Linked DNA regions of Coturnix japonica. The protein of the gene in region 2 interacts with the protein of the main gene of each other region in a pairwise test. Links are inferred from orthologs where the notes say so. Each region holds a gene or a part of one and is shown on either strand. Other genes may lie near its edges.

Region 1 (5,638 bases), on a different chromosome or scaffold from region 2:
GCACACAGATCAAACTGCAGAAGGGCTTATAGTTCCCTGTCTGTGGAGCTTCACTCATATGCTGGCAGACTTGGGCTTCTTAATTTCGTATTTTGAAAATGCACAGAGTGAAATTTGCCCTTTTAAATAGAAACTGGCAGAGAGCTGAAGGATTTATTGTGGTGAAATTGAGTGTCAGTGTTGCACAGATATCACGCAAAATGGGATGGGGCAAGAAAAATGGGTGATTTTTTTGTTTTGCACTCATTGATTTTCTGGTCTGACAGGTTGCCAGGCGCTGCTGGTCGGGTAATGGCTACGCGTATGAAACGATCTGCCAAGCAATGAGAGACAACGCCGCACTGAAAGTGACTCTTCCTCAAAAAGTGGTGGATGAGAACATCTTGGAACAAGCCCTCAGAAGTTAGTGGGAAATGCAATGTTTCCTGGCAGAAATGTCTGATACAATGTGCAAACAATAAAAGCCTTGCAATTGTCTCTGGCACTACGTGCGTTTTTTCCTTCTAACTCATTAATAGGACAGATCTGTATCTGCTTGTGACAGGTCCACTGATGTCAGAACAGCCTTTTCACTGGTATGTGATGAGTGATGAGCTGCAGTCTTTGGACTGTGGGATCTCAAGAAACCAAATAATGTTAAGTAACAAAACACCACAGGGTCTTATAAAGCGTCTACTCACTGCACCTCCAGCATTGCCTCCAGAAAACAGCAAACCTGGTGTGCTGTGTTGTTTTTTGTTTTTAATTTCCTTTAGAAATCAGTTCTTTACTCTGTTCACACAGTGTGTATCTCCAGATGAACAGCAAGAGGCTGGCATCTGCTTGCAACCAAACCTGCGAAATGCATTTTGTAGCTCACCAGAACTGCTTTACGCTGTGGAAAAAAGCACACATTGACAAGTTACACCACTGAGAGCTGAGTAGTTGCCAGCCAGATTTGACAGCCTTTCTTTAACATATGTCAGGCGTTAGCTATTAATAATCACACTGGGTTGGTATCTTGGTAGCTGTATCTCATACAAGCACTCAAGTTACTGTAGCCCAAAAGAAATGGGGCACCTTTTGTCATAAAAAACATCCAGAAAATGGCTGTTTGTGCTATGGAAGCTCAGCTCCACCGTCATCTTAATCCCAAGTTGAAAGATCTACCACAGAAAACGTGGAAGAAATATTATTATGGATTCTTCACCTTTGTGTTATTTAGTACTGAGATAACAGTAACCGGTCACCCCCTGCTGGGATGAAGCAGCTTGTGATTTCCAGCACACAGAAGCCATAGGCCAGGGAAAAAACTCCCTGAGCTCTGCTGAGCCTCCTTGTTTTTCTGCTCTCTGTTTGCAGAGAAACCGTGTCTATGAATGAACAATTGTTCTGCATCAATCTGGGGGGACGCTGATGTCATTTCTAGGCAGATGACCTCAATGCTGGAAAAACTCAATACAAGCAGAGCAGCCTCCTTCAAACACATCTGCAGTCACTGTATGAGGCCAGACAGTAGATAACAGATGAGATTAATCTCTCAACCCCAACCCACCCCCACCATGCCCATAACCACGTCCATCAGTGCCACATCTCCATGGCCCTTGAACACCTCCAAGGATGGTAACTCCACTTCTCCCTGTGCAGCCTGAGTTTCTCTAACATCCAACCTGGTGCAACTTAAGGCCATTTTCCTCTTGCTTGCTGTATGAGATACGATGCAGAATAGCTCCAGGGACACAATCATCCCACTGGAAGGATCACAGCACCATCTGCTGGGACCGCTCGAAGGGTTCACAGCTGCCGGAGCCCACAAGCAATTTGGTTCTTCCTTCTGCTTAAGACTGGAGAGCCAGAACAGACCTGAAAACGAGAACGAAAAATAGAATGAAAGATAAAACAGCCAAGCCCTGGGCAACCTGATCTAGTAAAGGTGTATGTTTGGTGGCCCTGCCAGGCAGGGGGTTGGAACTACATGATCCTTGAGGTCCCTTCCAACCTGGGTCATTCTGTGATTGTTCCCGTCCGATCCCCGCTCCATGGATCCGCACTCCGTGTTTCCACGCCGCCTCCAGCTCCGTTCCGCTCCGTTCCATTCCGTTGTTCCGCGTTTCCTCTCCGACCGCTCCATGCCCCGCCCCCCGGCTCCGGTTTCAGCCGCTGCTACAGGGACCCCCAAGATGGAAACGCAGGGGCTGCCCGCCGCGGAGGCGGCCCGGGCCCGGCCCGGCGCCCAACATGGCGGCCCCGCCGCGCCGCCCGCCGCCCCGGGCCGCCCTCCGCCTCCGCCCGACTGGGACCGGGCGGCCTCCTCCGCCGCCTCCTCCTCCGCCGCCAGCAGCGCCTCGTCGGGCCTCTACGTGAGCTTCCCGGTGCTGCTGGTGGAGGAGAAGCCGGAGTCCGGCCCGGCTCCCAGCCCCAGCGCTCCTCCGGCGGGCCCCGCTCCCGACGGCGACGGGCTGCTGCTCGTCCTCAACGTGGTGCGCGGCAACGCCGAGCCCGACTCGGGCGACGGGGATGCGGGGCGGGCCCGGCCCGGCCCTTCGCCCGCGGAGCCGCCCGATGAAGGCCCCGGCTCCGCGCCGCCGCCGCCGCCTCCGCCTCCTCCTCCTCCCCCGCCGCCCCGCGATGGAGACGGAGACGGCGGCTCGGAGGACGGCTCCTTCTCGGGGACCATCACCATCAACAACCAGAGCCTGCTGGTGCGCATCGAGAACGGCGTGCTGACGCTGGGGCCCGGCGCCGAGCAGGCCGCGAACAACGCGCCGCCCCCGGCCCAGCCGCCTCCCCCCGCCGAGCCCCCGCCGGGCGTCCCGAGGCCTCGCTCCCCGCCGGCCTTTCCCTGCCCCGAGCCGCGATGCGGGGAGGCCTTTCCCCGCAAGCAGCAGCTCCGGCTGCACCGACTGACGGCGCACGGAGGCGGAGGAGGGGAGGACGGCCGCGGGGCGGGGGGGGCGGCTCGGCCGTTCGGCTGCCCGGTGCCGGGCTGCGCCTGGTCCTTCGCCACGGCCTACAAGCTGCGGCGGCACCTGCACTCGCACGATAAACTGCGGCCCTTCGCCTGCGCCGCTCCCGGCTGCTCTAAGCGTTTCACTACCGTGTACAACCTGCGGGCCCACAGCCGCGCCCACGAGCAGGAGGCGGCGCACAAATGCGAGGCGTGCGGGCAGCGTTTCCCCAGCGTCGCCCGACTCGCCGCCCACCGTCGCCGCAGCCACCTGGAACCAGAGCGGCCCTACCGCTGTGACTACCCCGGTAAGACGCAAATGGGGCCGGGCCCGCGGGGCTCCGTGCCTTCTCCGTCCCTTCTTCCCCCTACAGCCGCCCTCGGGTCAGTCCGAGGTCCCTGCTGTGCTCGCTTTGCTTCCTTGCTGCCTCTCCTCCCTCTCCCTTTGGAGCCTGCAGGAATGTCCCCTCTCCCTGACACCCTCGTTCACAAGGGGGGTGGTTTGGAGTTGAGGGGTGCAGCTGCGATGAGGTGGTGGAATGCCAGCAGTGGAAGCACCAACCTTGTGTTGTGTGCCTTATGCAGGCGTTGGTTGTCGAACAGGCTGCCCAGGGAGGTTGTGGATGCCCCGTCCTTGTTCAAGACCAGGTTGGACGGGACCCTGGGCAACCTGATGTAGTAAAGGTGTATGTTTGGTGGCCCTGCCAGGCAGGGGGTTGGAACTACATGATCCTTGAGGTCCCTTCCAACCCGGGTCATTCTGTGATTCTGTGATCTGTTGTCCTCTTTGGCCGAGTAATTGTAATCCCTGAGAATAACTTTCTTCTCAGATTGATAAGGCGCTGCCACCCAGGGAGTGGTGGAGTCACTGTCCATAGAGGTGTTTGGGAGCCATCAAGATGTGGTGCTGAGGAACATGTTTGTGGGTGCGGTGATCGTGGGTTGACAATTGTAATTGATCTTAGGGGTCTTTTCCAAGCATAATGGTTATATGAAAGCATCTTTTATGCGTACCAACCTGATGCACTGTTTGTTTTCTGTCTCTCCCCAGGCTGTGAAAGGACTTTTATCACAGTGAGCGCACTGTTCTCCCACAATCGGGCCCACTTCAGGGAGCAGGAGCAGTTTTCCTGCTCGTTCCCAGGCTGTAACAAGCAGTACGACAAAGCATGTCGGCTGAAAATCCACATGAGGAGCCACACAGGTACTCACAAAACTGAGACCACAGGTTTCAGATTAGTTGTACTAATAATGGTCTGTGTTCTGTGATGCATATGGAGATGTGCAGTAGCCTTGAGGTAAAGAAGATGCTGATTGTAGATGAGGGGAGAGGGCATCACTGCTTGTATGTGATTTACCTGAGGTGGTGGTTGAGTCTTGTAGTCTTAAAATAATTGAATTTAAACAGCATTGGGGATTTCTTAATCTAATACCGGTGTGTGATTTGGTATTGTTAACGTGACCTTTCTTTGCTTAAGGTGAGAGGCCTTTTATCTGTGACTTCGAAGGCTGCGGTTGGTCTTTCACTAGCATGTCCAAGCTGCTGCGACACAAGAGGTAGCGTTGTCAGACTGTGCTGTTTGTTTGAAGTCCCTGTTTGTTAGGTTTTGTTTTTCCTTCCAGCAGTCAAAGCAGTGGATGCAGTCTTGCTAATGGTGATTCCGTTTGTTTATAGGAAACATGAAGATGACAGGAGGTTCACGTGCCCGGTAGAAGGCTGTGGGAAGTCCTTCACAAGAGCAGAACACTTGAAAGGCCACAGCATAACCCACCTTGGTACAAAGCCATTTGAGTGCCCAGTAGAAGGTACTGCTCAGCTCTTGCATTAACTGGTAACTGCTGTGTGCTGTGTAAATAGAGGAAAGCTCAGTGCTCTTCACCAAACACAAGCTAGTTACAGGATCACAGGGAGTCTTCTAACAGGGTCTGAACAGATAAAACTGAAGGTCTATTGCTTCAGTTGGACTCCAGGAATGTAGAAGATTGGGTATGATCTGGAATATTCACCTTCACAAAATAAAACAGCTTGGTGGTTGTTTCTCCTTTTAATGGTTTTACCAGCCGTTATCACCAAGCATTTTCAAGTAAAATGCCACAGAGGGGAAGGAATAGATTGAATGACTTAGCATTTCTTCTTGTCAGAAGTGGCTTGCTGAGCTGTCCTATCCACTTGATGTAAAACGAGAGGTTGTATATTTGGCTTGCTTCTGAGTCCTCTGAATGTATGTTCAGATGCTACTGACCAACAGAGAGTTGTGATTTGTTCTGTAGAGACACTAAGGCTGAATGTCAGGCTATAACTAGGTGAATCCTTAAAGCCATCTGTATCTTCTTGCAGGCTGTTGTGCAAAATTCTCAGCACGGAGCAGTCTGTACATTCACTCCAAAAAACATCTTCAGGATGTGGAGTCATTAAAGACTCGCTGCCCTGTATCCAGCTGTAATAAGTTGTTCACTTCCAAGCACAGTATGAAGACGCATATGGTCAAACAACATAACTTCAGCCCAGGTAAGGGATTTGTTTCAAGCTGTGTGAGATGCAGCAGACCAACTCTAAAAGCTTCTTCCACTGATCATTCATATCCTTTCATCCTCACTGTCTGATGAAAGCTCTGATTTACAACCAGACCCTCCCCAAAAAGTTGTATTTAATGTGCTGTTGCCGTTTTACTGTCATTACGTTCCCTAAGAATGGGTAAAACTCTATTAGAT
Region 2 (4,009 bases):
AATTGGATGGATCTGTAACACTGAGTTGAACTCAGTGATCGTTATTGGCAGTGAATGATGAGAACCTCCATAGGGCCTGTTGTAAATTCTTATTATTGGCAGTCAATGATGAAAACTTTCATAGGGCCCACCATAAATCCAAGTCTGTAGGCTGGGCTTTACTGAAAACTTCCTCTGTTTCTTCTCTTTAGTATGAAGTCGCTGTTGTGACAGAGAAGGGAGTGGAGGTGGAGGGACCGCTGACCCTGGAGGCCAACTGGGACATTGCACACCTGGTCAGGTAATGGGCAGGTGACACACAGTCCAAGCTCTGTGTGCTGTCAGTCTGACAAAAACCAAGGGCACAAAGTGTGGGTGGGTGATCGGTGCCATACACTCCAGTAGAGGTCCCACTGATTCGGTGCTAGAGCCAAATCCTCTCTTGGCCGGGAAGCGGCTCTGGGCAGCAGAGAGCTTCTCACTGATGGACCTCCTGAGATTTTGCTCCTTTTCTTCAGTACAAAACTCTGTGCAGGTTGTGGTGGTGCACACATGGACCACATCCCCACCATGCCACATCCTGACCCTATAAACGCTCTTCTTGCAGTGGCTTCGAGTGATCTCTGCAGAACTGCTTTGTTGTGTCCGTGCTTCTGGGCGATGCACATCCAAGAACTCCTTTTGAAGTTCCCATTTCTTTTGGAAATGAAATAAACCTGTTAAGACGATGTCCCATGTTTGTGCTTTGTCCAGAATTGAAGGTTCTGACTCCTCATAACACTGCAGGAAGGTGGTTGACAGCCCCGTCCTTTATTCCTGGCGAAGGGCAGCCAAAATGTCCTTTTGTTTGTTTGCTGAATGGTTTCTGGTAGACACTGTGCTCCACCAAAGACATTTACAGTCGTCCTCCCCTTGGCAGTGCCTTTATCGTACCATCTTGGGTCAAAGTGCTCCTTCAGCACCTCCAGTTAACACTGTGAGCTCATTTCTGCCAAAGGTGACAAAGCTTTTTCCCTTTCTGTGTCATCGTAAAGGTTTTTGCATTGCCAGGTGGCGCTGATGGCAGCTGAAGGACTCACCTGTGGGACCTGAGCTGGTTCTGGTCCTGGCTGATGCCTGTTCACTTCCCACGTTCTGAACCTTAAGTGAAATATACACAATTGCTTCACTATTTGCCCTAATGAAAGAATGGGAGCATGAGTTGCCATAGCAGTGGGGTGTTCCAGTACCCCACTTAGTGCAGCTCGTGCCATATTCCTCTTGAACTGGGAATTTCTCAGCCCTGCAATCATTTATGAGCATTAAGTGCGTTGTTTCTACCACTGAGTATAAGCAGCTCCAATGGCAGAATTCTGCCTCAAGCATGACCGCCACATACACACTTCAATTGCTGTCCCACCTCTGAGCAAGGCTGTGTCCCTAAGGGCAGAGAGATCCGCCCAGAGCTGAGCTCTGTGCTCTGCTCCTGTGTCTCCCACGAGGCACTATGATATCCCAACAGCCGGACAGCTCTGCATAATAAAAACGCGTGTTTATAAATCCATTTCCCTGGTTTTATTAAATGTTCCACGTATGTACATTTTAAAGATGAACCATTTACAGGTCTGCACATGCTGCCTCCTGCTTTCCTTAGGTCATAGGGCAGGTTCACAAAACCTCTATGGAAACAGAAAGGTGCAGGTGCTTCTGAATTCTGTATGTCAAAATGCTTCCGCTTATACCGTAATACATACAATTAAAAAACCCTCAAACATGCAAATTGTAGAAAAATTTAAGCTGGCAGTGAAAAATAAAAACAAACGTCTTCTTTTTGTGCATGTCACAGTTTTGTTTTGTTAAATCAGATTTCTAATTCTAAGGAACGTAGTGTCTGATGCCACTGCTTAAAGCACGGTTATCAACTACTCGTCGTTAATCAATGCTTAATGGTCCATACATTTAACTCCCAACTACAGGGGAAGATCAAGGCAGCCTCGACTTTCCCTCTTCCATCTGCACCCTCTCTCGGGGACTCTTTGGAGCGCGGCGGTGCTGGTGGGCTCCCATGGAGGACCCGACCCAACCGCATGGCAGCAGCGGGGGCTCCAAGAACCATCGCTGGCACTGAGCAGGCAAAACGCTTCCGCTTGTGTTTGGATCCCACGTCCCAGCTCACAAGCCGAACAATTACTCTTTAAAATAAAATAAGATTAAAAAAAGAGAAGAAAAAAACCAAACAAACCAAACCCAACTCGTAAGGGCCAATTGTAGAAGGTTCACACTTGAAAGCAATCATTCATACCTAAAGTCAGCACAGAAACCTAAAGCTCTGGGTCAAGTGTTGGGAAAAAAAAAAAGAACCAACCTGTGTTAAGACATCCAAAAGGTTTATATACTGGTTCGTTAGCTACATCTGTTCTCCTTTCTTTAGAAATGGTCACATTGACAATGTATAATTCAAAACATTTCTGCACAATAAAAACAGAAAACTATGATACAGTGAGGTAAAGAAAACGCAAAAATATTCACCCACAATATATTTTCAGAAAATACCAACACAGTGATTTTTCTTTAAAAAAGCACAAAACTTATAAATGAACAGCATAAATGGCTATTTATCTGAGTGATCGCCTACAAATTTCCTAAACCCACAAATCCACAGGGAAGTGTAATGGTCTCATCCAACATTTATTGAAAAAACAACCCTTTCCAGATCCCCAACTCGCAGATCAGTGCTCAGATTTCCATCAGATCCAAATCGGCATCTTCGAAGCCGTAAAACGATTCAGTCTCGCTCTCCCCCTCGAAGAGCTGATGGAGGATCTCGGGGTCGCCACACTCCTCATTCTGGGGCTGCTCCTCGCCTTCCACCGCCTCCTGCAGCTGCTGCTCCTCACCCAGCTTCAGCTGCTCCTCCAGCGTTGAGATCAGCTCCTCCTGCATGTCAGCGTTGCGTGTGGCTGAGTTGGCCGTGCCGTCCGGCCCCGGCAGCACACTGGCCACCAGGAAGGACTGCTGCACGAGTTCAGGAGAGTCACTAATGACTTCCAGCACCTCCGCCAGCCAACACAAAACCAACTGGAGAAGGATGTCCGAATCGCACGTGGAGTCCGCCATCTCCTTGGCTTGCTCTTTCCACTTTTTATGCAAGAAATTTTTCACAGTCCTTTTTATACAAACATCCAGGGGTTGGATTTTGGAGCTGCAGCCAGCGGGTACAACAGCCGGGAGAGTGCTGGAAGCACTCAGCAAGGACAGTACCTCCTCCGAGAGGTGTGTTCGGTGGCAATCTAGCACCAGCATGCCCTTGCTGTTCTGGCACTCGGTGTGCTTCTGCCACACTCGTGACGCCCACAGCTCCATGACCTCGTCATCGCTGTAGCCATTCTCCTTCGCTTCCAGTATGATGGATTCAGGCACGTTGGCGGGCTGCTGGACGTGACCTCTGTAGAAGACCAACGTGGGAAGAACGCTCCCGTCAGCAAGGATGGTGAGGACCACGTCGCACCAGGGCTCACCAGTCCCCACCGTCTGCAGAGCGTTCTCCTTCTTGTCGTCACTGCTCAGCACCTCCACGTCAAGGAAGAGGGAAATCTCGTCGATGGCTGCGATCATGGAGAGGGGCAGGTCCTGCGTGTGGATCTGCCTCTGCACAAACTCGATGAAGCAGCCAGCGTTGTCCTCCACCTCTTTGGGGAGCGAGTGGGCCACTGCCCTCCGCGTGTGCATGCTGAGGTTGTGCCGCAGCATGAACCGCACGGCCCATTCGTAGGAGATCTTGAAGCCGCCCTCCAGGGAGCGGCCAAGTTTGGTGGCCTTCTGGAAGAGCGTCTCCTCATTGACGGGCAGCTGCTGCTCCCTCTGGGTGAGCACCCACTCTGCCAGCTTCTCCTCGGCCTCCAAGCTCAGGTATTTGCCCTCCGACAGCGACGCCAAGTTCTCCTCTTGGAAAGCCTGGAACCTCCGGAGCCAACGCTTGATGCGCCGCTGTGGGTTCCTGAAGTGCTCGGCCGCCTGCTCAGTGCTGTAGCACAATGCAAACAGAACCACC

Evidence for each region.
Region 1: the proteins of POGZ (region 2) and ZXDC interact in binary tests that used the Homo sapiens proteins (3 or more experiments, as listed by UniProt). The link is inferred for Coturnix japonica from reciprocal best matches to the Homo sapiens genes POGZ and ZXDC.

What each region holds. Positions count from the first base shown.
Region 1 is NC_029527.1:8,254,974-8,260,611, reverse strand, and holds the start of ZXDC (zinc finger protein ZXDC), read left to right. Parts: upstream 1-1,994; 5' UTR 1,995-2,018; coding exon 2,019-3,234; intron 3,235-3,977; coding exon 3,978-4,130; intron 4,131-4,404; coding exon 4,405-4,483; intron 4,484-4,601; coding exon 4,602-4,732; intron 4,733-5,264; coding exon 5,265-5,435; intron 5,436-5,638. Other genes in the region: UROC1 (urocanate hydratase), read left to right, coding at 267-407. UniProt on the Homo sapiens protein: Cooperates with CIITA to promote transcription of MHC class I and MHC class II genes.
Region 2 is NC_029540.1:2,373,706-2,377,714, reverse strand, and holds the end of POGZ (pogo transposable element with ZNF domain), read right to left. Parts: coding exon 2,695-4,009; 3' UTR 1,511-2,694; downstream 1-1,510. UniProt on the Homo sapiens protein: Plays a role in mitotic cell cycle progression and is involved in kinetochore assembly and mitotic sister chromatid cohesion.